2 linked regions of the Drosophila melanogaster genome follow. The protein of the gene in region 1 purifies or fractionates together with the protein of each later gene. This does not show direct contact. Each region holds a gene or a part of one and is shown in the gene's direction. Other genes may lie near its edges.

What was found.
Region 2: the proteins of Rcd4 (region 1) and ana3 purify together in Drosophila melanogaster (affinity purification with western blotting; one study listed by BioGRID). This does not show direct contact.

What each region holds. Positions count from the first base shown.
Region 1 is NT_033779.5:8,374,712-8,388,520, forward strand, and holds Rcd4 (reduction in Cnn dots 4), read left to right. Parts: upstream 1-8,149; 5' UTR 8,150-8,244; coding exon 8,245-8,559; intron 8,560-8,623; coding exon 8,624-8,908; 3' UTR 8,909-8,946; downstream 8,947-13,809. Other genes in the region: Wdr82 (WD repeat domain 82), read left to right, coding at 1-769; CG13390 (uncharacterized protein), read right to left, coding at 851-1,852, 1,919-2,062; CG17294 (uncharacterized protein), read left to right, coding at 2,373-2,461, 2,514-2,810, 2,866-3,082, 3,136-3,300; AlaRS (Alanyl-tRNA synthetase), read right to left, coding at 3,708-5,613, 5,737-6,731; CG13392 (uncharacterized protein), read right to left, coding at 7,260-7,812, 7,878-7,996; Dad1 (defender against apoptotic cell death 1), read right to left, coding at 8,963-9,301; CG13384 (uncharacterized protein), read left to right, coding at 10,149-10,184, 11,506-11,674, 11,776-12,667, 12,948-13,120, 13,180-13,424. UniProt on the Drosophila melanogaster protein: Participates in the later stages of centriole assembly through the interaction with Ana3 leading to the centriole to centrosome conversion in somatic cells.
Region 2 is NT_033778.4:12,338,726-12,357,247, forward strand, and holds ana3 (anastral spindle 3), read left to right. Parts: upstream 1-6,257; 5' UTR 6,258-6,360; coding exon 6,361-9,798; intron 9,799-9,857; coding exon 9,858-12,353; 3' UTR 12,354-12,600; downstream 12,601-18,522. Other genes in the region: Den1 (deneddylase 1), read left to right, coding at 1-528; CG8839 (uncharacterized protein), read right to left, coding at 1,168-1,779, 1,841-2,415, 2,485-2,704, 2,763-2,945; CG30047 (uncharacterized protein), read left to right, coding at 13,116-13,136, 13,195-13,714, 13,772-13,946, 14,009-14,093, 14,317-14,437, 14,497-14,651, 14,716-15,099, 15,159-15,339 and 4 more; CG30049 (uncharacterized protein), read left to right, coding at 16,990-17,016, 17,076-17,586, 17,645-17,819, 17,869-17,953, 18,008-18,128, 18,184-18,338, 18,396-18,522. UniProt on the Drosophila melanogaster protein: Participes in the structural integrity of both centrioles and basal bodies and in centriole cohesion. Participates in the later stages of centriole assembly through the interaction with Rcd4 leading to the centriole to centrosome conversion.

The sequences.
Region 1 (13,809 bases):
CTCGAAGAAGTATGGAGTGGATTTAATCCACTTTACGCACGCCAACAACACGGCCATCCATAGCTCCACCAAGGTGGACGACACCATACGCTATCTCAGCCTGCACGACAACAAATATCTGCGCTACTTCCCCGGCCACACCAAGAAGGTTATCTCGCTGTGCATTTCGCCGGTGGAGGACACCTTTCTCTCCGGCTCGCTGGACAAGACGCTGCGCCTGTGGGACTTGCGCTCGCCCAACTGCCAGGGACTGATGCATCTCTCTGGACGACCCATTGCTGCCTACGATCCCGAGGGCTTGATCTTCGCCGCTGGCGTTAACTCGGAAAGCATTAAATTGTACGACCTTCGCTCTTTCGACAAAGGCCCCTTCGTCACATTTAAACTTAATCAGGAGAAGGAATGCGACTGGACTGGCCTTAAGTTCTCCCGTGACGGCAAAACAATTCTGATCAGCACGAATGGATCGGTCATCCGGCTCGTAGATGCCTTCCACGGCACTCCGCTACAAACGTTCACGGGCTATCCAAACAACAAGGGCATTCCCATCGAGGCAAGCTTCAGCCCAGACTCGCAGTTCATCTTTTCAGGCAGCACCGATGGACGAGTGCACATCTGGAATGCCGACACTGGCAATAAGGTGTCCGTACTGAATGGTGACCATCCGGGACCGGTGCAATGCGTTCAGTTCAATCCAAAATACATGATGCTGGCGTCCGCGTGCACCAACATGGCTTTTTGGCTGCCCACATCCGAGGAGGGCTTGTAGGCAATGATTCCCGCTTGCTTAGCTTATAAGATTACAATTTAATTTATAAATAATAAATCAACATAACATAAACAGAGGCCTCTAACTGGATTCCTGGGGCTGGTCCTTGTGGCGGTCGTATCCTCTACGTATGCTGTTCAGGAGTTGTCCAAGATTATGACCCATTTTGGCACTAATGCCGAGCACGGGATTTTGCAGGCGACGTTGCAGTTCCTCAAAGTTGTTTTGGCCCTCTTCCACGTCCAGCTTATTGGCCACCACCAATTGCGGGCGACTCGCCAGACGTCCGCCAAACTGGCGGAGTTCGTGCATTAGCTGCTCATAGTGCGTCCATGGCTCCGGTGCACTGGCATCTAACACGAACAGCAACAAGGTGCAACGCTCGGCGTGCTTTAGGAACTGTATGCCCAAGCCCTTATTGCGATGAGCATCGGGCACGAGTCCGGGAAGATCGGCAATGGTGAGCTGGACATGATCATCGTACTGGACGGTTCCCAAGTGCGGACGCAGCGTGGTGAAGGCGTAGGGAGCAACCTTTGGCTTGGCCCGTGTCAGTGCATTCAGTAGGGTGCTTTTGCCAGCATTGGGGTAACCAATCAAACCCACATCCGCCATGCTGCGCAGTTCCAGAGTGTATGATAGATCTTCACCCCTAGGACCGTATTCGCTGACCTTGGGACTTGTTTCCTTGTCCGTGGTAAAGAAACGGTTGCCCTTGCCACCGGCTCCTCCTCGAGCGGCCACAAACATAAGATCCGCTTGTCCCAGATCCCCGACAATTTGACCTTGCGCATTCCTGATCACCGTCCCGATTGGAACCTTGATCACAGAATGCTTGGCGTTCTTGCCATGACAATCCTTGGAGCTGCCCGGCTCTCCTTCTTCAGCTTTCAGAACACTCCCCACGTGGTTAAAGTTGCGCACATCGTTAGAGGCCTGGAACACCACATGCCCGCCGTGGCCACCGTCTCCGCCATCTGGACCGGCCCTTTCATTGCACCATAGCTGCAGGAAGGACACGCAACCGTCGCCACCCTTTCCGCCGATGGCACGTATCCTCTTGGCATCGGAGAAGTACTGCGCCTGGAAATGTGGACACAAAAGTGTGGCATTAGTTATGTAAATTCCATTGCAATCTTATGATTCTACCTCTTTCCGGGTGGACTTCGCCTTCTTCGGACGCAGCGCTGATGCCACCTGACAGTAGTTGGCTATGAGACCAATTGGTTTTGCATTTCTGGATATATTCAATGAAAATCGCGCAAGAAACGATTTGCCGGTAGAGAATAACATTGCTGAAGTCTTGTGACCATGGGCATAGTCAGAAAAATATGTAATAGGGATTGATATATCTTAATCAAGTGAAATTAAATTAAATGATCTAAAGGTTCGAGAAATGTATTATATAAATATATTAAGATGTATTTTTAGGGCGGCTAGAATTTTTTACTTTTAAAAAAGTATTCGAATCCCCGTCTACACCTGTGGAAAATCACCTGCTGATACATAAACATATCGCGACGACTATCGAAAGCTATCGAACCAGCTGGAAATTATGTTTTTGTTATCCAGAGGAACGAGAAGCTTTCAACAGTTGAGAAAGATGTCTATTAAAGGAGCACTCATTGATCTCAGTGGCACCTTGCATGTGGAGGATGAACCTACTCCGAATGCTGTCGAGGCGTTAAAAAGGTGCTTAGTTTAAACCAAGGTATTCGTAATTATTTTCAAAGTTGCCGTGTAGATTGCGTGACTCTGGCGTACTGGTGAAATTCGTTACAAACACCACGAAGGATTCAAAGGCCACTCTTCACGAACGGCTATGCAGGATTGGCTTCCAACTTGACGCCTCTGAGATCTACAGCTCCTTGAGTGCCGCAGTCTCGTATGTGGAAAATGAGAGACTAAATCCGTACTATATTCTGTCTGAGGATGCACGACAGGACTTTCCGCCGGAGGACACTAGGCGCTATAAGGATTCAGTTGTAATCGGTCTGGCACCCAAGGCCTTTAACTATGAACAGCTGAATGAGGCTTTTAAGTGAGCATCCGAGCAAGGATATTCTTATCTCAATTAACGATTATCTCTGCAATAGCGTTCTATTGGAAAACAAGAATCACAAACTGATCGCCGTGCATCAGGGTAAGTACTACAAACGAGCAGAAGGCCTAGCCTTGGGCCCAGGGTGCTTTGTCAAGGGTTTGGAGTTCGCTACAGGACGAACTGCCAAAGTGATTGGCAAGCCCAATCCTTATTTCTTCGAAGGAGCTCTGGCTGGTCGGGATCCAGCCTCATGCGTTATGATTGGAGATGTATGTAAAGTAAGGAATACATTTTGAAAACTTAACGAATTCTTGATTCGCAGGATGCCAATGATGACATAGTGGGCGCCATGAGCATGGGCATGCAGGGAATTCTGGTCAAGACCGGCAAATATCTGCCGGATGTCAAACCATCCCCACCTCCAACAGCGTTGTTGGAAAACTTTGCAGAGGCTGTCGATTGGATTATACAGAAAAACCAATCTTAGGCTTTATTGGGCTTCTGCAAATGTTTATCGTGTTTAAAACATAGATACTGACGAATTTTTTATTTAAAATAGTTACTTAAAAAGACTTTACTGATATAGGTAAGGCTTAGATATAATTAAATGCTCAAAATAAGTTCAGTTCTGATTATAAACTTTTCATGTGGAACATAATAAAGGACCCGTTTTTAAAGTGTGAACTAGCCCGAATCATTTTTCAACGATGTACGAATACAGCCAAACACAATTATGTAATTAATTTAGTGTATAAATGCTTTTATTTTATAAATAGCCGTAAAAATTCATCTGAAATGCTGTTTAAAACAGATCAACGGATTAAGATTAAGCATAGTTGTGTATCAAAATTGTGAGTAATTGAAGGTCTTGCCGCTTTCGAATCCTTTATGCTCTTAAGACAGTTTCGACTGAGCGAATTTGCTGGCCAATTGGACAATTTCGTCCACCTTTTCGTAATTTGTGCCCGATGCCTGGGCGGATTCCGGTTTGCCACCTCCCTTGCCTCCCAGCGTGGCGGAAACATGCTGCACCCACTCGTTGGCCTTCAGACCCTTTTCCACGGCACTTTTCGGCACCGAGCTGAGACAGAAGATCTTCTTGGAGTCCGCATCCACTGACAGAAACATGGCGGCAGCGTCGGGCAGCTGGCTGCGCACTTGCTTCAGTGCGGCATCCAGCGCCTTGGTGTTGTTAAAGGCTTCCAACTGCTCGACCAGCACGGTGGCATTGGGATTGGCTTCGCACAGAGTCTTGGCGCGCTCCACAACAGTGACCGAGACAGCGGCACGCAGGGCACGTTCCTTATCGTCCAATGTTTTCTTCAAGCCCTTCAGCAGATTGCGCATCTCGTCCTTTTTCACGTAGGGAATCGTAGCATGCGAGATCTGTTCAGTCAGCTCAACAATCTCCTTCACATGCGACTTGGAGTCCTTACCGGACTTATCGTTATCAATGGTGGCCTTAAGCCGGACGATTTCTTGTTCAAATGCTTCAGATTTCTTCAGTGCCTTCAGAGCTTCGGGTCCTGTAAGAGCCACAATTCTTCGGATACCCTTGGCAATGGCCTCTTCGCTGCTGATAACAAAGTCCATTATGTGACCCGAGCGCCTCAAATGGGTGCCGCCGCAAAACTCGACGGAGGTTTGTTCGCCGGCTTCAGAATCGGGATTCTGCTCCAGTTCATCTACGGGCACTCCGAAGGAGATTACCCTAACGGGATCCGGGTACACTTCGTCGAAGACCGATCGCAGGCCTCGGATCTTCTTGGCCAGGGCCAATTTCGACTCCTTTGCGTAGATCGGCACATTCTTGTACACCATCTCCTTAGTCAGCTGCTCCGTCTTGGACACCTGCTCGATGGTCATTGCCGCCTTGCTGTTGAAGTCAAAGCGTAGCTTCTCTGGCACTACCAGAGAGCCTTTCTGTTCGGTGTCCTTACCCAATACTTGCAGCAAGCAATGGTTGAGGGCATGGGTGGCCGAGTGGTTTTTCATGGTCAACCAGCGACGCTCCACGTCGATGTGCAGTTCCAACTCATCACCCACCTTAAGGGTGCCCTCTACAACGCCAATGTGAAGAATGTAGCCTCCGCGGTTGTAGACACGGTCCACAAGGAACTCGTTCGCCTCGTCATTGACTTTAACCAGTGCACCTTGGTCGTAGATTTGACCACCGCTCTCTGCATAGAAATTTGTTTTGTCCAGAACGATGCCCGCCTTCTGTCCGCTGGTGATCTCGTTCACAAACTGGTTTTCGAAGCGCAGGGCAACAATTTTACTATTGCACACACCGTAGTTGTAGGCGGAGTCACGTTCGTCAGACACAGCCTCGTACTTGTACTTGAAGGTGTCGTTGGTTGGTGGCACACCTTGCTCCTGCAGCTGCGAAATGGCGTGCACATCCAGATTGATCTCCTCGATTTTGCTAGCACCTTTGCCCTGCGAAAGCACATATGAATTATGCTTGGCTGCCTCATAGCCATCCATATCGATTTTCAAGGATTTCTCCTCTGCCATAAGCTGGGTTAGATCGACTGGGAAGCCGTAGGTGTCGTACAGCCGCCAAGCAACATCTCCGGGAATGGTAGTCTGGTTACCCAACTTTTCGATTGTGCGGTTCAGCAAGTTGCGCCCGCGCGTTAACGTCTTAAGGAACTGCAACTCTTCCTCGTTGATAATATCAATGATGTGTTGGGGATCTTTTTTCACCTCCGGGAAGGCATCACCAAGCAGATCAACCACTGTGTTCACCAGGGTGGCGAAGAAACCGGGCTTGGCATTCAACTTCTCAGTGGCATAACTGTGGGAAGATAATGTCAAGATTATTATTGCTTAGAGAGTGTAATTTTTTAATTGATCAAGAATAATGACTAATGACTAATGTAATATAATGTATATAAGACGTAGTATTAAGTTATCTTACCGCACAGCGCGACGAAGGATGCGTCGCAGCACATAGCCTCGGCCAGTGTTGTCCGGAGTGCCGCCATCAGCCAAAGCAATGGTGATGGTGCGGGCGTGATCGGCAAGCACGCGGTAGGCCATGTCAATGCCGTCCACATCGTCGGCACCCACACGACCCTGGTAAGGTGGGGCACCAGTGCCCGCCTGGATGGCATCGAAAAGTGGCACAAACAGATCGGTATCGTAGTTAGATCGCTTATTCTGGATGACGGACACCAGCCGCTCGAAACCCATGCCGCAATCAATGTGCTTCTTGGGAAGTTGCTTCAAGCTGCCATCAGATTCACGGTTGTACTGGATGAACACGAGATTCCAGATCTCCAGGACATCGGGATCGTCCATGTTGACCAGCTCCGGAACGCTGCGCCCGCCGATCCGGTCGAAGTGCAGCTCAGAGCATGGTCCGCAGGGCCCAGTCTCGCCCATCTCCCAGAAGTTGTCCTTCATGCTGCCCGGCAGGATGTGTTCCGGTTTCAGGCCCAAGTCCAGCCACATTTGCTTGCACTCCAGATCGGGCTCCAGACCGCTGGCCGCGTCACCACCAAAGTAAGTCACATACAGACGATCCTTGGGTAGGGCGAGTCGCTGCGTGAGAAACTCCCAGGCCCAGGAGCAGATCTCCTTCTTAAAGTAGTCACCGAAGGACCAGTTTCCCAGCATTTCAAAGAAGGTGTGATGATAGACATCCTTGCCCACGTCGTCCAGATCGTTGTGCTTGCCACCGGCGCGAATGCACTTCTGCGTGTTGGCCACGCGCACCCACTTGGACATTTCGCTGTTGGGATCAGCGGTGCCCAGAAAAATGGGCTTGAACTGATTCATGCCGGCGTTGGCGAACAACAGCGTGGGATCGTCCAATGGAATCGTGCTGGACGAGTGAACATAGATGTGCTTCTGCTCCTTGAAGAAGTCCAGATAGGCGTTGCGCACCTCCTTTGCTGTGAGTAACTTCATATTGCTGGTTCTGCAAAGGACAAATCGTGAGTGTAAACGTTGCCACGCGACAATTGGGGCTCCCTAACCCCTTAAAACGGCCACAAATCGGAGCAGTGAAAGTGCACTTTGCACAGTACGTGACAAAGTTATACAATTTGGAAGCGAATTGAATCAAAAAACGTTTACTTGTTTATTTTTCGTATATGTAAATAGACCACACTGGTACCTAACCAAAACAAGTTATGTATTACTCACGTTTCAAACAGTAAATGCAAATGCAAACAATTTCGTCAGCCGACTGCAGCAACGTGTGAGATTGGCTCGATAGACAATGCGGCAAACTGGATGAGATATCGATAGATTTAGAGATGGCATAATGAAGAAAATAATTTTTTTATATTTAAAATTAAGTCCACTTGCTTAATTTACATTAATTGCACTCTAGAACCCTCCAGATATATGTAAAAAATCACAAATTTTAAAAAATGCATTTAGAATAAGCTCTTAAATGCGCCTCTATTTGAGCTAGTTAACAATGTGTAACAATTAAAAGTCCATTCGCTGTGGCAAGTGTTCCTCCTCCACCTGGTGCTCGATCTCCCTCATGCGTAACATAAGTTTAAAGTTCTGCTTGTCCTCCTGGCCAGTAAGGAACATGGTTAGCAGGGCCTGCAGGCCGATTAAGGTTCCTAAGGCTGGGACAATGGGGCGTGTAAATTTCCGCCACAACAGAAACACTTCTCTGGGATTTTCCGTAATCGAGGGAATACGGTACGTGTAGCAGCGGGTTGCGAACAGAAATGCGGCGAATGGGGCCAGAATTGTGGGATATACGATGCCCAGACTTGTCTGAAAGGCAGCACTGCGCATCTGGATGCACACCGGGCACTCGCCCAGCGGATTTAGTAGGATGGGCCGCTGAATAAAGAACTTGTGCGCCAGCATGGTAAATATGGCGGGAACGGCGACAATCGGGAGGTAAGTGGACAATCGACCATGTCCTCCAAGTCGCAGCTTGGTGCGATAATGATTATTTATGTAGGCGCCCGTTCCCGCAGCCAAAGCACTCAGAATTCCGGGCGTGTAGCGCAACGACCATCTACAAGGCAATATTTTGATCGCTTGTTAGGTAAGCGGCAACTTTAGAAGGCTTCATGCACTCACACTTCGCCTATTTTGTCCCAGGAAGTTATAATCTTCCATTGGTATTTGAGGGCCTGATCCTCTGTTATGACCACCGCGTCCCTGGGCAGTTCGTCGGGCTTGGCGCGTGATAATGCCATTTTTCATTAATTTATCAAAATATTTGGTTCTCAGAAAACAGCTGCTTATGGGTCAGTGTTGTATAAGTCCCGAACCGGTGTGAGAATGTTGAATACAGTGGGTATCGGAAAAAGGTCTCGGAAAGTAACGCGAAATTTACAGATGATGACATATCAGTGCTGTTAAATGGTCAAATCAGTGTTGCGTGCTGTTTTATATCAGAGGCGAATTGAAGTGTACTACCATAATTCTTGCGAGTCTGCTTAAAATGCCTCACAAACGTAGGAACCGAGTACATGCGAACCAAAGGAATTTCACAGCGCGACGCGTTTCTGTGGCCAAACTGTCGTCTGCACCGCCGAATGTGCTCGTCGAATCCTGCAACGGTTCTCATGCGGATAACAGTTCGCCGGACAGTCCGAAAGCCAAAGAAGGTGCAATGACCAACGGGAAAAACCCGGAGATCAAGTTAGCCGTGCCCAAATGCAACACCACCGTGCGCAAGCAGAACGAGGCCCATATCATATCCAACATTAAGCTGGATATGAACCTTAATAAGGATTCTAACTTTATCGCCCCACAGGTTAATTAAGGTTTTCAATTATGTATACTGTTTTATAATAACATATTCTGTAACTACCCCAAAGATCACCAAAAAGATGAACTTCGCTCCGAATCGTGTTGTATTCGGGGTCCTGGTGCCTCTCAATGTCAACGATTCTGTGCTGGTGCCGCACAATAGAAAACCGGATGCCTTAAAGCACACATCGAAAGAATCGGAATCATGCAAGGCCATAAGCGAGCCCCAGCTAGCCGACTATGCGGAGAAAGTAGATCCCATGATCATGGCTGTTAAGGAACCAGTACTCCACTTGGATTGGGAACCAGGACCCTTCGATTTTTTCGGCGCATATAGGAGAACATACAATTAGAGTTACATTTTATTTATAAATATATCCGAGAATATCAGAATGTTTGTAGCTTTGTTAACCGATGAAGTTCATGACCACCAGATGAAGGATCACATGAGCGAAGATGAAGTCGGCGAAACCGCGTTCCGGCGAAATGCCGGCAAACACGCTCTTGTTCTGGGGATTGGCCTGCAGGCGTAGGCACACTGCCAGGACGAAACAGCTGACGGTGCTGATGAAACCAGATAGGAAGGAGTTGAACGGGAAGGTTCCAACCAGGCAGCAGTAAACAAACTGGATGATGCCGGTGAGCAGAATGTAGCCGAGGTAGATGTCCACCAGCTTCAGTTTCTTGGGCGTATTCTGCACGTAGTCGTTGTAGAACTTGGAAATGACGCTCGACAGCTCCACCATTTTGCTATTTTATGTGATATTTGTCCGGATATTTAAGGATAAAGGCGCTTTTTAACAAATTAATCGCAGACACGTCACAAATTGGGAGAGAACTCAAAAGTAGGACCGTTCGTCTAGTTTGAAAATAATACTGATAGCTTTATCGATGAAGGCGCAAGTACAGTGGGCACTCAATACCTTGAAGTTTAATAAAGAATAGGTTTATATATTAAAAAATTTTTGTGTTTTAGTTAAAACTAAAACATAACAAATCTTATAGATTAATGACCGCTATCGATTCTTTTTTAATGTTGCATATGTTTGAGAGGTAATGTTATAATTTAATTTATATAAAAAGAAACACAAATTCTTTTTCTAACCCGTTAATAAAGTTTTCTATCCGATTTTCACTGTACCGCCAAATCAGCGAATTAATCGATAGATACGGAAAGTCATCCTCGATTGTTGTGTCTTGCTTTGCTTCTTCAGTGCTTGTTTTGGGGTGAGAGGCAATTGTTATTGCGAGTTGAGTTCGAAGAAATTAGTAACGTATGTATTTAAAACACCACAAAAGGGTATGATGTGCGTTGCAACGTTACAATAAACATTTGCTATCCAATGTGCAACAGTGATGCAGCGTGTTATCAAACTTCTTTTATATGAACACAACATGATTCATTGCTGATGTTTTCTCTGTTCGATTCGCAGACTGGGAGAAGATAATTGCCATAGCCTCCTCCCACCACGCACCCCAAACTCAGCAATAAATGAACTTTATAATTTGATTGGCTCTTCGCATTGATAAACCAGCGTTGTGACCTTCGCAGGAGCACCCATTTCATTGTCAGTGTCAAGCGGGAAAAAATCAATGGAGGACCTGACACCTTTGACCAACCTTCAACAGGTAGAGCAGAGCCAGACACATCTGGTCATCAAATTGCGCATGCTGAATGGGTTTATTTTGATTTCGTATCCGTACATCTGTTAATTATGTTTTTGTTTCAGTTTTAGTTTCAACATTATCATTTTTCCAACTGCCCAAAAGACGCGTTCCTACAACTCAACCATCTCCAGTTGAGATACATCTAATTTCCGATACAGTCAGTGTAAGTGAAAAAGATATAGTTATGTATCTTTGTAATGTCGCACCTTGTTGTGCAAGTCTGTGATGCAAGATAAAACGAAAATAAGTTCGTAATGCTTTGTTTGATTTCTTTATGGCTCTCAAATAAAGATTTCTTGACATAAGTCGGCTGCTTGTCTGGATTTAGGTAGACTTTACGATTTAAGCACTATTAATTCCTCGCTAAATAAATAGCACACATTCTATGACCATGTAGCACTTATATGTAGGTCTTCTAAAAGCAAGCACACTGGAATTATTAAATCTATTTTTTAAAGCTAGTGTTAAAGTAAGAAAAGCATGATTACTTGTCAAAATGGCAATATAACCAGAATACTGCATGCATGATACATAAATATGCAAATGATATCAACGCTAGAATGATTCGAACCTATGTATCATTTATGTATTATGTATATCTCTCATTATAATTTGTATTTGTTAAGTTAACACTTTGATTTCACGTTTATTTGCGAAAACTTTCTTCTCGCCTTATATGTTCATTCAAGAAATTTATCAGTAGTATTAAATATCACAATAATGCAACTTGAGTAATTCCGTTTGCTGACTCAAGTCAATAATCTGAATATAATGGGTGGATATTTGATTCACCGTCTGGATACACATTATATAATTGTGATTTATGGTATGCTCGCTGGCTTCGCAGGAGATATGCGGGTCTTATCTCTACGTATGGATTGTTTTTCGCGACTTGTTGGTGTTTTCGACTTTAAAGCTATACTCTAGTGGGAGACGAACTCGTCAATATGATATCGACTTCCGAAGCACGCGTAATCAGACCCATATGCAAAGTAATGAAATGATCACATTAATCGTACTTTGAGTCAAGTCCAAGGCTAACTTGGACTATCAGCATGGTCGAAATTTTCCACTCTACTCCGCCCGGCACGCGATCACTGTCCACTATGCAACGCACTATCTGCACCTCCTATTGTTATAAGCGTGGAAAACTGAGTCAGCGGAAAATTTCCGAGGCGAAAAGCGGGCGTCTCAAGTTGCACTCTTAGTTTGTTTCGTGCAGCCGGAGAGGGCGCATCATAAAATCCAACGCTCTTAGTTACTTACCTACCCCTGTTTCCAGATTCCCGAGGGAGCGCCGCGCAAGAAAAAGATGACGGAACGACAGCCGTTGCTCCTCCAGAGCGATGCCTCTGACTACGAGGGCAGTCGAGGATCGGCAGCACGACCCGTGCGCAGCTCTCCGCCGGACAACACTCTCGTCAACGTGCACAGCGAGGACAGCTTAGCAGGTGAGTTTGTGACCAGGTCAAAATATGTTATTACAAAGTAAATTGAGGTATGACGAGAAACTTATAATTTTTTCGCTTTTTTCTGTGAGTGCACGCAGCAGCCTCTGGATCGGGAGATGATGAAATTGGATCGACGGATAAGTCCTATAACCCCACCCATCATCGCGACCTGGAGCATCCGACGTCCAACTTCGATACCCTGGTTCATCTGCTGAAGGGCAACATTGGTACGGGCATTCTGGCAATGCCGGATGCCTTTAAGAACGCCGGACTTTATGTGGGACTCTTTGGCACAATGATCATGGGAGCCATCTGCACTCACTGCATGCACATGCTGGTCAACTGCTCCCACGAGCTGTGCCGGAGATTCCAGCAGCCATCGTTAGATTTCTCGGAGGTGGCATACTGCAGTTTTGAGTCGGGACCTTTGGGACTAAGACGATACTCCATGTTGGCTCGACGAATTGTTACCACGTTCTTGTTTATCACGCAAATCGGTTTCTGCTGCGTCTACTTCCTCTTTGTGGCGTTGAATATCAAGGACGTTATGGATCACTACTACAAGATGCCTGTGCAGATTTACCTGCTTATAATGCTTGGACCCATGATCCTGTTGAATCTGGTGCGGAATCTGAAGTATTTGACACCCGTTTCGCTGGTTGCCGCCCTGCTCACAGTTGCCGGACTGGCCATTACATTCTCGTACATGCTGGTGGATCTGCCGGATGTGCACACGGTCAAGCCGGTGGCCACTTGGGCGACGTTGCCTCTATATTTTGGAACCGCCATCTACGCGTTCGAGGGAATTGGTGTTGTCCTGCCCTTGGAGAACAATATGCGCACACCCGAGGACTTTGGCGGCACCACAGGTGTCCTCAACACGGGCATGGTGATCGTGGCCTGCTTGTACACAGCTGTCGGGTTCTTCGGCTACCTGAAGTACGGCGAACACGTGGAGGGCAGCATTACCCTAAATCTGCCGCAGGGCGACACGTAAGTCCTTAAACTTTCCATTGCTAATCGGTTTTAGTTGTAAGACAGAGGGATTTAATATTTCTCATGCTGATATACATAATCTACATGCTCTTGCTATTTGAAAAGCGCTATTCGAAATATTGATAGTTCAGATAGTTAAGATCGTTATTAACTTTACTGTCTAAATAATTTTAAATTACATGATAATAAAGCTAGCAAAAGGTGTTATAACAATTTTTAATGATATTCCCAGACTGCAATACTAATATTTTAATTGTCTTCCTCTTTACATATTTAGACTTTCCCAGTTGGTGCGGATTTCAATGGCGGTGGCCATCTTCCTCTCGTATACGCTTCAGTTTTATGTGCCTGTGAACATCGTGGAGCCCTTTGTGCGAAGTCATTTCGATACAACGAGGGCCAAGGATTTGTCAGCAACTGTGCTGCGAGTTGTTCTGGTCACTTTTACCTGTACGCATAGATAGTCAATATTTAAAATGTTCCAATTATCATCGTATTTTATTTCACAGTCCTGCTGGCCACCTGCATTCCCAATCTAGGCTCCATTATCTCGCTGGTAGGAGCCGTCAGCAGCTCAGCTTTGGCCCTAATTGCACCACCCATAATTGAAGTTATTACATTTTACAACGTTGGCTATGGACGCTTCAATTGGATGCTATGGAAGGACGTTTTAATCCTGATCTTTGGACTCTGTGGCTTTGTGTTTGGCACCTGGGCCAGCTTAGCTCAAATCCTGAACGACAGAACCCACTGAGTTTAATCGAAATAAGCGAATCGAAAACAGAACCTGGCTAGTTCTGCCTACAAATGTGTGCGAATTTATGACGAAGGCTTTATGTAGTTACACTCAGACTACGAATATGTTTACCATTAGTTGTTTACCATTTCCCAACTGGTATCGGTCCAGTCCAGTGGCGGTGCTTTAGTGTGATTAATTTATATTTATGGCAAATTAGTTGCATTTTTTTTTGTTGTTATCAGCCAGCTGCAATCGTACCAGACAATAACTAGCATTTTAAGTAGAAAGTTTTTCAACATTTGTTCAGTTTGTCAGTTGGAGATTATTTCTGTGTTAACTCGATGACCGCACAATGCCAAACGTGATTTTACGTAGTATTCTTAACTAAATTATTATTTAG
Region 2 (18,522 bases), on another chromosome or scaffold:
TACTACGAATACCTGGCCCACATGAAGTACAAGACCAATGCGGATCTGCACTTCATTGCGCCGGAGATTACGCAGTGTATGAAGTACATGGGCGACCAGGAGCTGAAGCAGCTTCTCGACCAGAGCAACACCACTGGCAAGCCCTTTATCTTCTTCGCGCTGAACGACAACGAAACCACCGATGCTGGTGGCAGCCACTGGTCACTGTTGGTCTTCTCGCGTCCGGAGAAGACCTTCTATCACTTCGATTCGTATGGGAACAACAACACGGGCAACTCCCTGGAGCTGATGAACAAGATCAAGGACCTGCTTGGCGTCCGAATGGCCAAATTCCGGCCCATGCGCTGCCTACAGCAGGCGAACGGCTACGACTGTGGCATCCATGTTATCTGCATGACCGACCACATTGCCGATTACCTAAACAGATACGAGGTGATCGACGGACTGCCGTCGCTGCACATCGACACCGTGAAGGCGAAGCGCACCGAGCTACTGAAACTCATCCTGTCGCTGGGCGGCAAGGGCTAGAGGCTAGCGAGGATTGCCCTGCCGAACCGCCCACAGCCGAGTAGTTTTTAAGTGACCAAATTACGAATGTAACTCGTTGCCGAAGAATGAGAGGAGCATCGGAATTACATATGTGAATACGATATCCATGATATCGCTAGTTGTAGTGGGTTTAGTTTTCCTTGCCGAATGAAAATGTTTAAAAAACAAAAGCAAACTAAAAGCAATTGAGGCGGTGAGTCGGCATATTTTTAAGGTTGGTCTTTCAAAATAAAGATTTGTTTAGCCACAAAACGCGTTGGCTTCGAATTCAGAATTCTGACTTCTCTGCTTGTTTGGTCAATGGGCGCCTGTCGCCAATTAATGAAAACAAAGATATCAGTTGGTTGCAATTATTTATTATAAATGCAAAACGGGAACGGATCCGCGCGGATCTATGATTAGATTACATTTAAAAACACATACAAAATAGATAAATCCACATCGAAAATTGATATTACAATGAGGCACTGGAGTACACAAGGAATACCTTTCATCGCCAGGCGAATGCTCGGGTGGGTAGGGGTAGTTAGTAATGGGTGGGGGGAGACCAGGACGTTAACCTGACCACTACTATCTAAAAGCTAGCTAAGCTGCATACTTGCACGTTTGAGACTGCTCCTAGAGCCGAACTTCGGGCTTGGCCCAACCGCCAAAGGCTCGCTCCAATTCCTCGGCAACGGCCAAACAAAGTCGATCCTGATTGAAGTTGGCGATGATTTGGACACCCAGTGGCAGACCCTCGCTGCCCAGCTTGCCCAGCGGCACAGCGGTGGCCGGGAAGCCCAGCACATTGACAATACCAGTGTAGGCAAAGTTAATGGGTCGCGTAATGGGCTCATTGTGGTATGGAGCCACCGTGGGATGCGTGGGATAGATCAGCACACCATTATCGCCCAGCAGGCTTTGCAACTCCTCCCTCAGCTCATTTCGTTTGCGCACCAGATGATCGTACTTGGGAGATCCGTGCTTGCACTGTGCACTATCCATGATAGCTGTCGACAGGCCAATGAATGTGTGCTTGGAAGCGCCGAAGAACCACTTGAAGAGCTCCAGGTACGTGTTGATGTCATGATTCAGGTTGCCTAGCTGGTAGGCGAATCCATGGCCACTGTCGTCGCGCATGTTGGCAAACCAAATGGCCGCCGACTGCCGGAAGTGGGGCAGCTGGATGCGCTCCACTTTCTGATTGCCGAACTTCTCTCTCAAGTGCTGTGCCACGCGGTTCATGGCCTGCAGCAAGAAAGATTTCAGATTAGAGGATTTAATTAAGAAAGAAGGTCATTTATCTTACCTCTCTTAAGTCTGGATCAACGGCGGAAACCAAGCGGCCGCCGCCATCGGACTCTTGGTAGAAGAACTTCATTTTGGTTAGGTCCACATCCTCGTCCAGATTAAGCAGGGCCGCCTTCTCGCCAGCCATAATCTTTAGCATGGGTCGCAGGTCCTCGGCAAATCGTGACATAGGTCCCAGGCCGAGGAAGGAGTTCTGCTCGGCACTGAAGGGCGCTGGGAACTGACCGACATTGGAGACGACCAACTTGCTGGGCTTGTGGCCAAAGATGCCATTGAAAAAGGCTGGCATGCGAATGGAGCCGCCAATGTCGGAGCCCAAGCCAAAGGCGGAGGCAGCCGCCGACTGTATGCAGCCCTCGCCACCGCTGGAGCCACCGACAATGCGGTTAGTGTCGTAGGCATTCCTTGTCCTGCCGTGCACCGTATTGTTGCTCTCCCACCACATGCACACCTCGGAAACATTTGTGAGGGCTATGGGAATGGCTCCCGCCTTGCGCATCAAGGCCATAGCGTCCGCATCCCGCGCAGCACGCACATCCCGACGTTCGAAGAGTCCAGCTGTGTGCAGCATGCCTAAAGCCAAACACATGATTGAGCTATAGCAATGGTAATCCAATTAAGAAACTTATGGGAGCTACGCACCCTTGACGGATATGCAATCCTTGGTGGTAATGGGCACGCCCAGGAAGGGCTTCTCCTTCTCCAACTCCTCCGTGCTGTATTGTCCAGACTTGATCAGGGCATCTGCTTCGGCTGCCTCCTTGAGAGCTTGATCGTAACGTTCATCCACGACACAGTTGAGAATGGGATTCACCTCTTTGATGCGCCGGATAAATGATTCCAAGACCTGGACGCTGCTCAGCTGCTCAAGATGAGTGAAAGTTAGGTGTTTTGTAGATGAAACGATTGCACACACTCACCTCCTGTTTGCGGATTTTCCGTGCCAACGATGTGGCGGACTCCAAGAGAATGGCATCTGTGATCGGTGGAACACTCTCACCCTTTTGGCCATAGATCAGCCGGAAAACAAAGCGAATGCAGGCCTGGAGAATGCCGAAAATGTAACCACCAATGGCCTGGGTCAGTGGCACGCTCTTCGCCATTTTGTGGAATTCTAAGGAATGTGCGCCTGAAGAAGCTCAGCTACTAGGACTCAGAATTGGAACTGCGGGTGTTGGTGGCTGTGTACTTTGCCCTGGCCCATGTGTTATTGCTCTGGAATGTTGAAACGATAACAAAAATGAAATAAATGCATTGAAAATTCATGTTAAATATACTTAAATGAAGGAAGGCACTCATGAATGTGGTTTATTTGCAATTTAAACTGGTTTATCAGGCAACTTTTATAAGACCTTATATAGCAAAAGTAAAAAATAAACAACAAATCAGTAGAAATATAAAATTGGGTCAAAATACCTCGTTCTGGATTTATGATTGGTAATTCAGTCATTTAAGTCGGCAATTCATTTTATGGATATAATGGGTTTTACGCAATATATGAACGTTTCATATCGAAACGGAAAATTTCTATTTATGTGTCTTGAATTATTTCGTGTTTTCATGCCACAAAGTCTCATGATTTCGAATAGTATTTAGCATTACTTATCTACAATAATAAATGAAATTGGTGACAATTTTAATAAAAATAAATATAGTACTCATAGTTGTAGTTCTTTTCACACATCTCAGGTTTAATGACTCGGCAATTAATTGAGCCGTCCCATTCCCAGATAGGCCAAGTCCACACCTGTGTGTGACTCATGGATAGATGGATTCATAAAGGCACATAGGAAATATGGAATCTATATTCGAAATGTAGAACTTTTCTCCAAAGTGCATACATAGAGTAGGAAACCGCGATCATTATATTGGTCCCAAAACAAATAAAGTAACTGAAAATTGCACTAAAATTCAGCAAATAATGACAATATACGTATTGTATTGGGAAAAACGTGTATTTCCGGATAACGAAGAAAAGCCAAAGGAAGCCTATGCATAATACTTCGCTGTTCTGGAAAAGGTTGTTTAAACAAATGACTTTACTGTTCAACTCGTAAACATTTCACTGTTTACAAAAACGAACAATGGAAACTTGTATGGAATTGGATATATGTATACACACATAGATATATGGTTAATATATAGAGCTGGAATCGGGGCAGTATAATGTTTAAGGGAGCCATATGCCCGGCCAGAATCAGGATTTACCTCATTATCTTATCAGGAGTGCGCATCAGACAGCTAATTCGCTGCTTAAACACGAGAAGATAATGGCACAAAGGGAAGCAGACCACGGAGAGTGGTGAATAGCCGAAAAGCCGATCCCCGTCAGCTCACTAAACAGCCAGGTCGTTAACCATATCCACATCAGTACTCCAAATGGTATTACAGAAAAAAAAAAACCAACTGATAAGCGGAGTGAGTCACAGGTCGAAGCTGTTTGTTTATGCCATTCGTTTGCCATAAAAAATAGAGCAACAATTGAAATAGTCGGTTTTGAGCAATCCGAAAAGTGCTTCGTGAATGATTAGTGGAACTCAAAGTTCCCACTTCCTATCGCAATGTGCTTATCTACATATTAATAATAAGAATAATATGTTGTTACGATTTGATTATTCTATTAAGAATGCCTTTCAACATATCGCAGTCTGCTAATTGAACTGCCAGACATTCGAATTTTGAATGCAGTGAGTGCATTATAATCAAGTTCGCACTTTCAAATTGCGGTTGGGGTGAATATTCACGGGGGGGGTGGTGACAATTTGTCTGCCCGTGATTTTGAATAACAAACGAATAAAATGGGTAAAATTGCCAAGAGCATGCTATATGAAGTTCAAAGCACTCTGTATAATGAATGGCAATTATTTTAAATTGGTTTGTAAGCCAGAAATGTTCAGTAGAGCCGGGTTTTTCGTATTTTAAAGTTACAAATAGAAATTCACACTTTAATAGCTCAAAGTCTCATGAGGCCGGTTCCTAGAACTCACTCATAATATTTAATGGAATATCTTTTATAAGCCATTCAAAGTTTGATACTAATGGGTTGCAGTGACACAAATCAAATGGCAAACATTTTCCTGGTGCAATATAAATCTTTTTTGCTTCAGTCGGTCGAAGTTCAATGGGTGGAGATGCGGGACGATAATGGTCCAATAATCGGGCACTTAAGTGGCCAATCCGATAAGATTAGCCATAAATAATAATGAACTTGTTGCTTAGCTCCCCTTTTTGGCTCAGTGTCCAAAATATTCAATTGTAAATTACTCGAGCGACATCCAATCGGAATGTCAATCGCAGTTGCATGCCATTTCTAATTAGAAAAGAGTAGACGGGCCATTGATTTCCAACTGGATGGTGAGATATACATATGTACATATATGTACGCAAAAGGTGGAAAAGCGAAGGTTGCGACCGGCGAAATGGTTTCTGGGGTGTGGTAGGGGCGGCATCGGGGCGAGGGAGTTACCCGGGCGTGCGCCAGTGACATCATTTCGCTATTTCCATTTTCATTTCCAGCATATGCTTTGTTTGCACTACGAATTCATCAAGTGTCATTTGGCACTATGTGCGTACACTGTGCACATGTATGTGTGAGTAAAGTTTGTTTGCCTCAAAAATAAAGCAAACAAAAACATAAACTTAAAACAACACAATCCAACCGATGACGTCACGAGGGAGCCTTTTTATTGTTCAAAATGGAACAATGAATGGGTCACAAGGATAAGAATGATCAGAAATAGCACTTTGTTGAAGTTTAAATTGCAAATAACCGGTTGGCGAACAATGATTAGCGGTTACAAAGCGTTTGGCTGTATTCACAATCGCACAGCTACACTTTAGAGCGGCACGTAAACAAAACGATATGAAACCCAAGATAAGCATTTATACACACACACACACAGAGAGAAAAGTCTAGTTCTCCACCGCAGCGGCAAACAAACTCTATTATTTACCCGCTAAGCACAAACTCAAGTCCAATCAGATGGGCGACTTTTTTTTAAACCTACAGCGCTAGCGTGACCGTGCTTGCCATGCTGGGAAATAACAAACTCGGTTGCGACCAAATTATCGATAGACAAATATGGCAATTTAATACGCGTAGTTTAGTTTTGGTGAAATAAGGCAAATATCAGAGGCATAATTTATAAGATTATTAAGTAAAACCATATAAATAATATAAAAATAAAACAATTAGATGAATAAAAGTTCTTCAACAAAAAAGGGATTAGGTTCAAGTAATTGTTTATTATGTGTGAAAAGCACCTAATTCTTAGGGAGCAATAAAAGATTGATGCGGAATATTGTTCGTTGTTGCTGATGCGAGGTGTCAGGTGGAGAAATACTATTTTAATAGGTTTAGTATTTTTAGACCCTTATGCAGGGAACGCACACTCAAGCAGAGTGGCAACGCCAGCCAAAATTCGAGTTTGACGCTTTCAAAAATGACATCCTAAAACGTTTGCTGCCTGGAAGAGAAGTGAAAACGAACTAAAAGTCGGGTATTATTAGTCTAAGGAAATGAGTACCAAACAGAGCCCGGCCCTCCAGCTGGCGGAGGGGCAGCTAACCAAGCTGACTAGCGAATCGGAAGAGATCCGTATGCGCGCGCTCGACCAGATTGAGACGAGATTCATCAGGTGCCTGCAACTGGGCGAGCCGATACAGTTCAAGCCGGTCCTGCTGCTGAAGCAGCTCATCCGCTGGTTCGGGTACACACCGCCGCTGGTGCCCGACCGTGTGCTGGCCATGATTATGGAACTCCTTCGATCCGAGTACGCCGAGGCGGTGATTCGCAAGATTCCTTACGAACGCTTCAAGGCCGAGCTGCAGAAGGTTCGCCGTGTGCTACACAAGCAGGAGTCCAAGCGGGTCAGCGAATTGCTGGATGATATGAATTTGCTGCTTCTCGAGAAGTACAACATAGACCGGGTGACGCCGAGCGTCTCCAGCCTTAGTTCAAATGACATTCCCAGTCAGGCAACTGAATCCGCAGACAGCAGTTCGAATCAGATTTACGACAATCTGAAACCGGAAGATTACGAGCCCTCCTGGTCGCATCCGTGCTTGGACGATGTGGCCACCATGAAGAGCATGATTGATTTGCCACGAAATAGCGTTGAGTTGCAGTTGCAGCTCACCGAACTGATCATCCGTATGGGCGACTACCCAACTGAGTACTTTCTGCAGCCACCGTTCGTATTCTTGCATCTGGTTCAGTTGCAAACGATGACTGACGGTAGCCTGATACATGTGAACCGGGCACTAATTGCCTGCCTGCGGCTGCTGCAGCAGCGCATCTTGTTGCGCCGAAACACTCTGAGCTACGCGGACAGGTTCGATCCTCCGTCACGCCCCAAGCAAGTGAAGGTGGTGAGCGCCTTGGTAATTCTGCTGGAAAATTGCATGAAGCTGATTCGTCCGTTGCTGTTCAGCTGCACAAACGACAACTGGCACATAATGGAGCTGATCGTGGAAATAGTGCGGACCCACGATGTTCTCAGCTCAAAAATTCCCTTAGTGAGCATTACGCTCATCGCGGACGCGGTCAAAAGTCTGCTGGCGTATTGTAACAGTGTAGAAGGCAGTTGCATGACCCAGCTGATGGACTCGCTCAGGATTCCCCGCCTGCAATCGCTGATCCTTAACGGCGTGCTGCACGATATGGTGGCCTTAAATATAAACTATGACAAACGCATGGACCGACGCCAAGCCAAAGCACTCATCCAACCTATAGTTTTGGACAGCGCTTACCTGTCTGGCATGCCCGAGCGCATGAAGTCGCTAAACACTCTAATATCGTCTTTGGATTCTGGACCATCACCGGACGAGGAGTTGATCAAGCTGAAGCGGGCCTACAGCGTGGCCCTAAATCAATTACATCCGAATACGGAACTGACTGGGTCGCTGCTAATCCAGAAGTACAGACAAGTGTGCCTTGTGCTCGTCCAACTGGGCAGTGAGACATTGGTAAAGCAGCTCTTCGGAGCTGTTGTAAAATGCATTCCATTCTACGCGGGCAATTTAAAGCTAAGAAAGGATGCGGATGAGCTGCTTTACACCCTTGTTGATTTGCCTGCTCTCAAACTTCGTTCACTTATATATCGTTTAATGATCAAATCCACCGTGGCCCACTTTCATTCCTTTATGAACAAGACAGTCTATATGACCGGCTGCAGCAATGTGGATCTGATTCGTCAGCATATCTTAGGCGTGCCGCTAACTCCCCTGCTGTTACGCAGAATGATAATTCAGAGTTCGGAAGCAAATACTTCGGAACGTATGCAGCAGTGGTGCCTCGACTATCCTATAATGATTATGAAGCTAAACGCTATTCTAGCTCCGCAGGATTTCAGCGTTGTTTTCCCGTTGCTACTCCCCGTGCTGCCTCTGCTGATCAGCAGGTCGGTTACACACAAGATATTGCACAACGTCATATGGAACGTTTTAGAGCCGGACTCCAGCCGTTTGGATCCGCAATTGATGCTGCGCGGGTACGTTTACTTCATGTTCCATCCGGATGGCGAGGTTAGGAGCGAGGCCACCACTACAATTGCTTACGTGCTGCAATGTCAGGAGCAAACGAATAGATATTTGCCCACCGCAAGCAACGTACCGGTTGAGCACATCGCCAACGATCTCTGCATAATTCAACCACCATTCTGTTATAGAAGCATTTTCATCAAATGCTCTGATGAGCGGTTTCAAGGTCAGCGCAGCTTGGACGCCCTGTTCCGATTACTCCAGGCCAAGGACATAAAGTCGAATATCCGAAAGTCAACAATGACTCAATTAAATGTCTTGCTACGAAACTGGAGAGCTTGTGAGGAATTCTCCACAAAGGAGGATGGATATCGACTGATTATGGAGTCTCTGCACAACGCTCTGAAAAAGGGGAACGACACTGATATTCTGCTGCCCACTGTGAGTATCCTGATGAAGCTTCTGTTCAATGACGATGAGTTTCGATTAGAAGTCGCGAACACATTCGGGGTGTACACTTTACTGCTGAGGGCTTTATTCTTGTTCCCCCACTTGGAACAGTTGCGCCAGGATGTCAGTATATGCCTGTTCCAAATGCTGTTCCAGAATTGTATCACCTCCACTGAAGACAAACTGGTACTGAATGCGAATATGGAACCCCTGATTTTGCCTGTAACCTATGAAATTGAACATAAAGTTATACCCACTGCCGTTACGGAAGGATTGGAGCTGCAACAAAATGTGGAGGCGACCCATTTCGGGCGAGATAGGGCAAAAGCTGCACAGCATTGGCGACTGTATATGGCCTATCGCGTTTGCCAGGTTCCATCCAGCATTACTTTGGAGTCTGTGAGCGCTTTGGATATAAGGGAGTCTCTTAAGATCAAAATGGCCGATTTGGCGTTAGTAAGATCCTCCGACTTAAATGAGCAGCTAAGTTGTCAGTTTATCGCAGCGGAGAATTGCAGCAAACACGAGGATCTGCAAAAAACTGTGTCGGCCATTCAGCTATTTCTCGTGGTTCTGCGAAACTCATTAAGTGATACGGTGGCTGAGAACTTGTGGAAATTAATCCATAAGTACATCCGCTTAGCGCCGGGGAACGAAGCGGATGACAAGGTGTACAAGTCCATGCTGGATCTGTGCGTAACATGCATTCGCTTCAGCCAGCCACATGCTATCAACGGACTGAGCTACGCTCTGGAAACGGATCATCATCACAGCTTCCAATTACTCCTGCACGATAGCCAAATTTCTCTGGATAAGCTATTCCTGATTTGCCAGTGCATGATGCAGCTTTTGTCCAACGAGCTCAGTGATGATTCGATGAACTGGTATGGCAAGTTCTTTATGCAATTGAGTGCCGTGGCCAAGACGCACTTTGAATTGCGCCAGCTGCAGCACGTTCGCTGCATACTTTGCATGCTGCGCTTTGTAAGCGAGCGAAATCTGAAATTTAGTAATGCTCAGTTGATGGTGAGTAAAGGATCATCGTCATTAGATATTGATTTCTTACCTTGAATTTTTGTCCGCAGAGCTACTCTCAGCATTTTATCCAATTGTCCAGCAATTTACGTACCTCAACTCAAACCGGATCCGAGTGGCAGCGGGACTGCTTGTACATAATCTGTCAGCTCCAGATCCATCTAATATATCAGGAGCCAAAGGCGTCCAGCAAGGCCAGTATCCCAAACGATGTCGGAGCTTCATATAAGGTCTTGCGCTATTTCTTAACACTTTGCGGGCACGGTGACAGTGAAGTGCGTGCATTGTCCTGGGTATCGTTGGCCAATTGGATAACCATCTGTGGCTCGCAGGTAGCAGAAATTCTGCCTCGCCTGGATTTTCTACCCGGCGGACTGCCGGCTTGCTGTTTAACCACTCTGACGGATGCCCACGAAATGATGCTGATCAGGGAGTTGGCCGGACGAGTATTTATCCTTCTGATGCCGCTCATTGGTGCCGAAAGTAGCTTGGAATTGTTGCGGAAACATGACTTACTAAAGACCGCCTACAATTCGCTGAAAGCAATTCACGACACTCCCTGGATGTTCAAGAAGATAGTTGGTGAGCGGCATTCGTGTGAAGTAATTAGCTGCTATGTTGCCATATGCACCAAAATGGTGGCCATGAAGCCAGAGTGGTGTGCCGCGCTCTGCGGCCACAGTTTGATGAGTGGTCTCAGCGATGTGATGAAAAAACTCAAGTCGCAGGCGTCCTGTTCGATTCCGCTTGTGGAACTGTGTGCATCCCAAATTTGTGAATTGTACTCGATGTGCTACACTAATAACTTTGAGTTCCTTAAGATGACGATTTGTCGAGATTCTGTATTCTTGCAGAATTATTTAACGCTGATCAACGATGTTTTGAGTTTGGAATGTCCCGAGTACATGGTGATTCCCCTATTAAAGATGTTTCTCATATTCTGCACGGACTCGAATTCGAACTCATTTCTCATCGAACAGATAAAGAATAAGCCATCTCTATTCATGGATTTCTTCCTGTTTGGATTGCATGTGAAGCTTATTAATTCGCCATTTCAGCGCTTTACTCTGTCAGCATTATCACTTGTGTTCACCAAAGCTCAACTTGCTGCGTATGATATAAGCATGCTAAGTGAGTTGGAGAAGTTCGAATTAGCATTCAGTGATCCTGATATTGCTAAAGATGGCAAACAAGAATTCGAGTCAAAAAAGAAGCAATCTGTATCGCAATGCATCTACGATGAATCCTCGGATAATTCGGATGACAATAAGCAAAGGCCAAACCATGCGATCCAGGCCACTAATGCGGCTATTATAATTTTCCATCGCTTGGATCAGCTCTTTGACCGTTACTATCTATCGAAGGCCTTAAACTTTTTGGAACTTCCTGCAGTGGGCCAGGTGCAGGTTTGTGAAGCACTCGGCGAACTGCTTAAGGCATCAACCTGGGCCGTGAAAGCAGCCGGAGAATCGAAGCTGCTTGGCAAGGTAGTTCACATTCTGGACGATTTTCTCAATGACGAAAAAATCGGAAACGCCGCCGTCTATGTGAAGCGAGTGGGACCTCACAAGGCGCAAAGTATCATAAGCAATCTCTTGGTACTGATTAACATGCTATCCCAATGGCATAGTTCTCCCAATTCTGAGATCATCCAGACCAGTATGGCTGCGAATATCGCCAAAATCCTCATCCGCATTTGGCCTTGGTTATCGCACTCGTATCACTTAAAAAAGGTTACTGTCCAGCTGATTATGTTCCTTACGGAGCATTCATTCGAAATGTGTAAACAGATATCCCTGCTTCAGTCGGGACATGCCCAATCCCTGCTACACCTAATGGCTCGCGTCGCTGACTTCGAGACCACCAAGAAGGAGATTCCAAACAAAGAGCCATCTCTGAATATGGTGCCCGCACTAAGGGTTATGGTAAACTGCTGTTGCTGCACCGAGGGTCGGCTGAGTTTGTCCAAAATGAATTTGCTGGATATGTTTGACACAATCCTTCCTGCTAATCCGTGCTCAACACATCTTAAAGTGCGACCACCTGTACTGATTGCATGGCTCGGATTCTGGGAGGTATTTTCCCGGTACGACGTAGGAGGAAAGGCTTGCCATCTTCAATCTCTTATAAACACGATTCGGCGTAGTCCTCCATTGAGTCACAAGCGGATCCTGTGCCTTCGAATACTCCGCAACATGTGCTTCTTCAATGGTAATCGCCCCCGGCTCGTGGAGCTGGCTGACTTTATTAACCTGCTGCGTGATATTTTGGAGCAGAGGGTCCAAAAAGCACCCACATCCGAGAAAAACGGGCTGAACTCCTTCGAGGAGCACCGCCTGGCTGTCCTCATGTTGTGGAAACTCTTCGGTTTCGGTGCCAAATATAAGGGCATGCTGCGGGGCACCAAGCTCTTTAAACTGCTGATTGGCCTTCGGGTGGAGATGTCGGTGGTCTTCTCGGAGGAAGAGAATAAGTACGCAGGCGTTCCGTACGCAAATGATCTCGCCAAGTTGCTGGAGAAACTGATGGAGTCGATGCGACAATAATCGCAGACCATGGACTCACTCTGATCAAGTACAAATCGATAGGATAGTTATAACAGAGTCGTTTTATTTTTGTATAATGTGTAACTTTTGTAATGGACTTTTGTAATTCGACTGTGAAACGAGATATGTAACTTTTTTATATAATAATGCACAACCGTTTAATTTTGTTGTAAGAAGAAGCCTGAAGGCATTTTAAGTTTGCACAACGTTCTTAACTAATGGAAATAAACATCTGAACCCCATAACTGATTACTTTGTCATTGAACTACCCTAATATGGAGCTTATTGGGCATTTTGTGGTCTCAATAAGATGTGGTACTGAAGAAGCCCAAGACGAGAATGTATGCAGCAACCGCATATGGACATAAAGATAAGACTTTCGATGAAGTGATTGGCCGTAGTGACTGGCTGAATAGAACAAGCGTGCCAAAAACAATGCTTTCAATCTAGTTTAAAGTGAGTAAAGAGTATAAAGATAGCAGTCCATAAATCCTGCCATTTAGATACTAAAACCTGCAAAACCAACTGGGAAGCAACTGGAAAGTATCCGTCGCGTTTGTCACATTCTCGTTAGCATCGAACGCTATATGGCGTGCATAAAGCGATTTATCTTTATGGGATTCAAAGTGCGAATCACTGCTGATAATATCCGTCCACCTTCAACTTTCGGTGCCCCAAGTCAATGGCACTTTCAGTTCAGTCCCGACTGGCCAAAGGAACTGTTCGACTTCCGCGACCGATCAGAAACTACAATTTGTCGACATGAAGTCGAGGGAAAAGAATGTAAGTTTGGATTTAAGAAATCAATGTGTTTTAATTAATCCATTAATCGATTTTAAAGGGGTCTGCGGCTAGTAACTCGGACGTGGCACTGGTCAATGTTTTATCGCAGCAAAAGCTGAGAAGGCACAGATTGCCCTGGTACTACGCACCATCCTTTCTCCTCCTATGGGTGGCTCTATTCTACGCAGTGGTATATCCTTTGTACCATCGCCTGCCCGATAGCGTCCTTATATCGCATGAATCGAGTAAACCTGGACAATTTGTGGCGGAGAGGGCGCAAAGGCTGCTCTACAAATACGACAAGATCGGACCCAAGGTGGTGGGCAGTGTGGCGAATGAGGTGACAACGGTGGCCTTTCTCGAAGAGGAGGTGGAGAACATCCGGGCGGCAATGCGCAGTGATCTCTACGAGCTGCAGCTGGATGTCCAACATCCCTCGGGCGCCTACATGCATTGGCAGATGGTGAACATGTACCAGGGCGTCACGAATGTGGTTGTTAAGATTAGTAGCCGGAGCTCCAATAGTTCATCCTACCTGCTGGTGAACAGTCATTTCGATTCCAAGCCCAGCAGTCCTGGTGGGTAACAACACATTCTGCTCTTTTTATAAGGGTACTAATAATACCTGCTTCTAGGTTCCGGCGACGATGGCACCATGGTTGTGGTCATGCTGGAAGTCCTTCGCCAGGTGGCCATATCGGACACCCCATTCGAACATCCCATTGTGTTTCTGTTCAACGGAGCTGAGGAAAATCCTTTGGAGGCATCGCACGGCTTTATTACCCAACATAAATGGGCGGGAAACTGCAAGTGAGTGGGCTGCATTTGGAATTTCGAATATGGCAGTTAAAACTTGAGGGATAATTCTGCAGGGCTCTCATAAATCTGGAAGTGGCAGGCAGCGGAGGTCGTGACCTGTTGTTCCAGAGTGGACCGAATAATCCGTGGCTGATCAAGGTATGTACCACATGCAACCATGACTAATTGCTGGGAAAACTTTTTGCCATGCTCACGGTTATCAGCCGTTTATACAGTATACATATATGTACATTCAAAATCATATTTGTTTATCGAATTTCGAGTGGTTATTAGCGGCAATCGCTGATGGCGGGATGAAATTGCCTTTGAAGAAAGCGGCATTTATTGATAATCGGATATTTACTTCATTTACTACCCATAGTACTATTACCAGAATGCTAAACATCCGTTTGCCACCACAATGGCCGAGGAAATATTTCAGTCTGGCATTTTGCCATCCGATACGGATTTCCGTATCTTTCGCGACTACGGACAACTGCCAGGTGAGTTGGTCACGCGAATGCTTCATTGGCTTGTGTATTGAACAGGTTCTTCCCCAAAGGCCTTGACATGGCGCAAATCAGCAATGGCTATGTATACCATACCATTTTTGATAATGTTCAGGCGGTGCCCATTGATTCCCTACAAAGTTCTGGAGACAATGCCTTATCTCTGGTGCGGGCTTTCGCTGATGCGCCTGAAATGCAGAATCCAGAGGTGAGTCATTAATGGTTTTGGGGAAATCCAACTCATTATTCATTGTGTCATTTTTATTTGACAGGATCACAGCGAAGGACACGCTGTTTTCTTTGACTATCTGGGCCTATTCTTTGTGTACTACACGGAAAACACTGGCATAGTCCTTAACTGCTGCATCGCCGTTGCCAGTTTGGTTCTGGTGGTCTGCTCCCTTTTGAGGATGGGTCGCGAATCGGATGTCTCTATAGGCCGAGTGTCCATATGGTTCGCCATAATCCTGGTCCTTCATGTGCTGGGAATGATCCTCAGTCTCGGGCTGCCGCTGCTGATGGCAGTTTTGTTCGATGCCGGAGACCGTTCCATGACATACTTCAGCAACAATTGGCTGGTCATTGGGCTGTTCATCGTTCCAGCAATTATTGGCCAGATTTTGCCCTTGACTCTCTACTACACACTAAAACCAAATGTGAGTGGCCAACACTTTTAAAAATCTATATATGTTAACTTTTAGGACTTGCTTTGCAGGACGAAATCAGTCACCCCAATCACATACACATGAGCCTCCATGCGCACTGTGTCCTGCTGTCCTTGATTGCCATTATCCTCACTGCTATAAGCCTAAGGACTCCGTATCTGTGCATGATGTCCTTGTTGTTTTATGGAGGAGCTCTGTTGATTAATCTACTAAGCACTCTACACGATCGAGGTAACTCATGGCAAATCGAATCCTCCACATAGATTGGTAACTTGGATATACTTGCAGGATACTATTGGGTTGTATTGGTGCAAGTCCTGCAACTAGTGCCCTTCCTGTACTTCTGCTACCTATTCTACACTTTTCTCCTGGTCTTCTTTCCGATGCTGGGGCGTTTTGGACACGGCACCAATCCTGATCTATTGATCGCCCTGATCTGCGCGGTTGGAACTTTCTTTGCACTGGGATTTGTGGTAAGAAATAAGGCTTTAGCCTAAGAATACATCTAATTGACGATGGTTACCCAGGCTCCTCTGATAAACATATTCCGCTGGCCCAAATTGGCACTGCTCGGATTGGGAGTGGTCACGTTTATATTCAGCATGATAGCGGTTTCTGAAGTGGGCTTTCCATATCGGGCAAAGACCAGCGTTATGAGAATTCACTTTCTGGTACGTACATGCTTCATTGCAAGCTATGTGCATTCCCCATAAAACACTTGTAATCCCTCAGCACGTTCGGCGCATTTTCTATGAGTACGATGGCTCCGTGAGTCTCAGTGATTCCGGCTACTACTTCGACTTCCAGGATCGTCGTCTCTATTATCCACTGGAAAACACCTCTGTCAATCTAACTGGCTTGGCTAGCACATCCTCCGAGTGCGATAAGTACCTGATGTGCGGAGTTCCCTGCTTCAATCACCGTTGGTGTAAGACGCGCGCCAAGAGCCATTGGTTGCCTCGGGAGCAGGAGGTGGCCATTCCAGGAGCGACTTCCCTAAAGCTTCTCAGCAAAGCAGTTTTGGACTCCGGAAAGGTGGCCAGGTTTGAGTTCGAGATCTCGGGGCCACCGCACATGAGCCTGTATATTCAACCTCTGGATGGGGTTGAAGTGGAGGATTGGTCATTCATTCGGAACATGCTGGATGAACCCGACACCTACTCACCGCCATATCAAATATTCTTTGCCTACGGTGCGGATAATACCCCCTTAAAGTTTCATATTGATTTTGCAGTGAGTTTAAGAACTTCCGAAATACCTGAAATTGCTACTATAACGCTCTTCTTCATAGAAATCCTCGGGTGACTTTAGCACTCCAACTTTCCAGCTAGGATTCGCTGCCAGTTTTGTTAGCTACGATTATGATCGAGATGCTGCCGGCCTGAAGTTCATATCCGATTTTCCCGACTTTGCTCACGTTATGGAATGGCCTACGTTGTATGAACGATATATATTCTAAGTTGCTGGACTTATGGCACATCTCGCTACCTTTTATTACTAAGAACCTCTGTTAAGAGCCTCTATTAGCTTAAGAACGTACATTTAAGTATTCTAATTAAACGCAATGTTTTGAGTAATGGAATTTCCCCTGAATTAATAATCAAACGCTTACGTTTAGTCGCGTGTGTAGATTGTTCGATTAATTCTGGTGGCGTTGATCCAATCGGACCAACAGGGAAACTTTTAACTATGGGTAATCTAAACATCTAAATCATAGAATGATTGGTTTTCCATGAATTTTGTTGTTGGCTTCCTATCACACCGCTCTGTGGGCTATCTTAAAGAACTGAAGAGTGCCAATCGAGTAGACTAGAAGCATTCAGTAGTGAGACTGCTGGACATCGACACAGTTCTCTTTTCCCGCGGAATCGAGTTGGAAATATGGAAGTGCTGACTGACGGCGATAAAGCAAGTACATATAAGTAAATATTTGCCAATGTAAATTTATCACATATTTACTCAACCAGGAAGGCTTTTCGGACACCGCTCTCTACCATGTCTTGTCAAAGGAAAAGAAGTTGAAGCGAAGGCTTCCATGGTACTATGCACCCTCCTTTCTCCTTCTGTGGGTGGCGCTATTCTACGCCATCGTACTTCCGCTCTTCTACCGGCTTCCAGATCGAGTAACCATGGCCGACGAGCCACTTAAACCCGGCCAATTTGTGGGCGAGAGAGCGCAGAAAATACTCTACGAACTGGATCGTATCGGACCCAAAGTGGTTGGGAGCACAGCGAACGAGGTGACGACGGTTGCATTTCTCTTAAACGAGGTGGAAAAGATTAGGAGCGAAATGCGCGGAGACCTCTTTCACTTGGAGGTGGACGTCCAGCAGCCGACGGGTTCCTATGTGGTGGGAACCATGACCAGCATTTATCAGGGCATTCAGAATGTGGTCGTCAAGTTGAGCACTGCGAGTTCGAATAGCTCATCCTATCTCCTAATCAACAGTCACTTCGACACGAAGCCAGGTAGTCCAGGTGGGTTGACTCAACTAATCTTCGAATATAGCATCTTCAAATTAGTAGCTTATTGCAGGCGCTGGAGATGATGGCACAATGGTTGTAGTTATGCTGGAGGTTCTGCGTCAAATGTCCATTTCCGAGAGCGAGTTTATGCATCCAATAGTCTTTTTGTTCAATGGCGCCGAGGAGAATCCTCTACAGGCCTCCCATGGCTTCATCACCCAGCATAAGTGGGCACCGAATTGCAAGTGAGTTTAAGATCAGAGATCAATGAACTTTCTAAACTATTACCCAAAGGGCAGTTATCAATTTGGAAGTTGGTGGTAACGGCGGTCGAGATATCCTATTCCAGAGCGGCCCAAATAATCCCTGGCTAGTGAAGGTACTTAATAGATTTCAACATATAATTTGTGCACTAATATGTGGTTTATTTTAGTATTATAAACAGCATTCGAAACATCCGTTTGCCTCCACATTGGCTGAAGAAATCTTTCAGTTCGGGATACTGCCATCTGATACAGATTTTCGAATATTTCGAGATTACGGAAATATTCCCGGTAATCTATTTGGCATCTACTAAGGAATTCATAGCCTAATTGTTTACTTTTAAAGGACTTGATATAGCGCAGTTTAGCAACGGATACGTTTATCATACGGCTTTCGATAGCTTCGACGTTGTTCCAGGACGTGCGGTTCAGAATACTGGAGAAAACATTCTATCTCTCGTTCGAGCTCTATCCAATGCCAGTGAATTATATAACACGAATGTGAGTATATTTAAAGAAAATATTTTGAAACTACTTGTTAATCTATAAACATTACAGGAGCACAGTGCAGGACATGCTGTCTTCTTTGATTTCCTGGGACTCTTCTTTGTGACCTATACAGAAAACACTGGCATAATCCTAAACTATTGCTTTGCTGTAGCAAGTGTTTTTCTCGTTGGCTTTT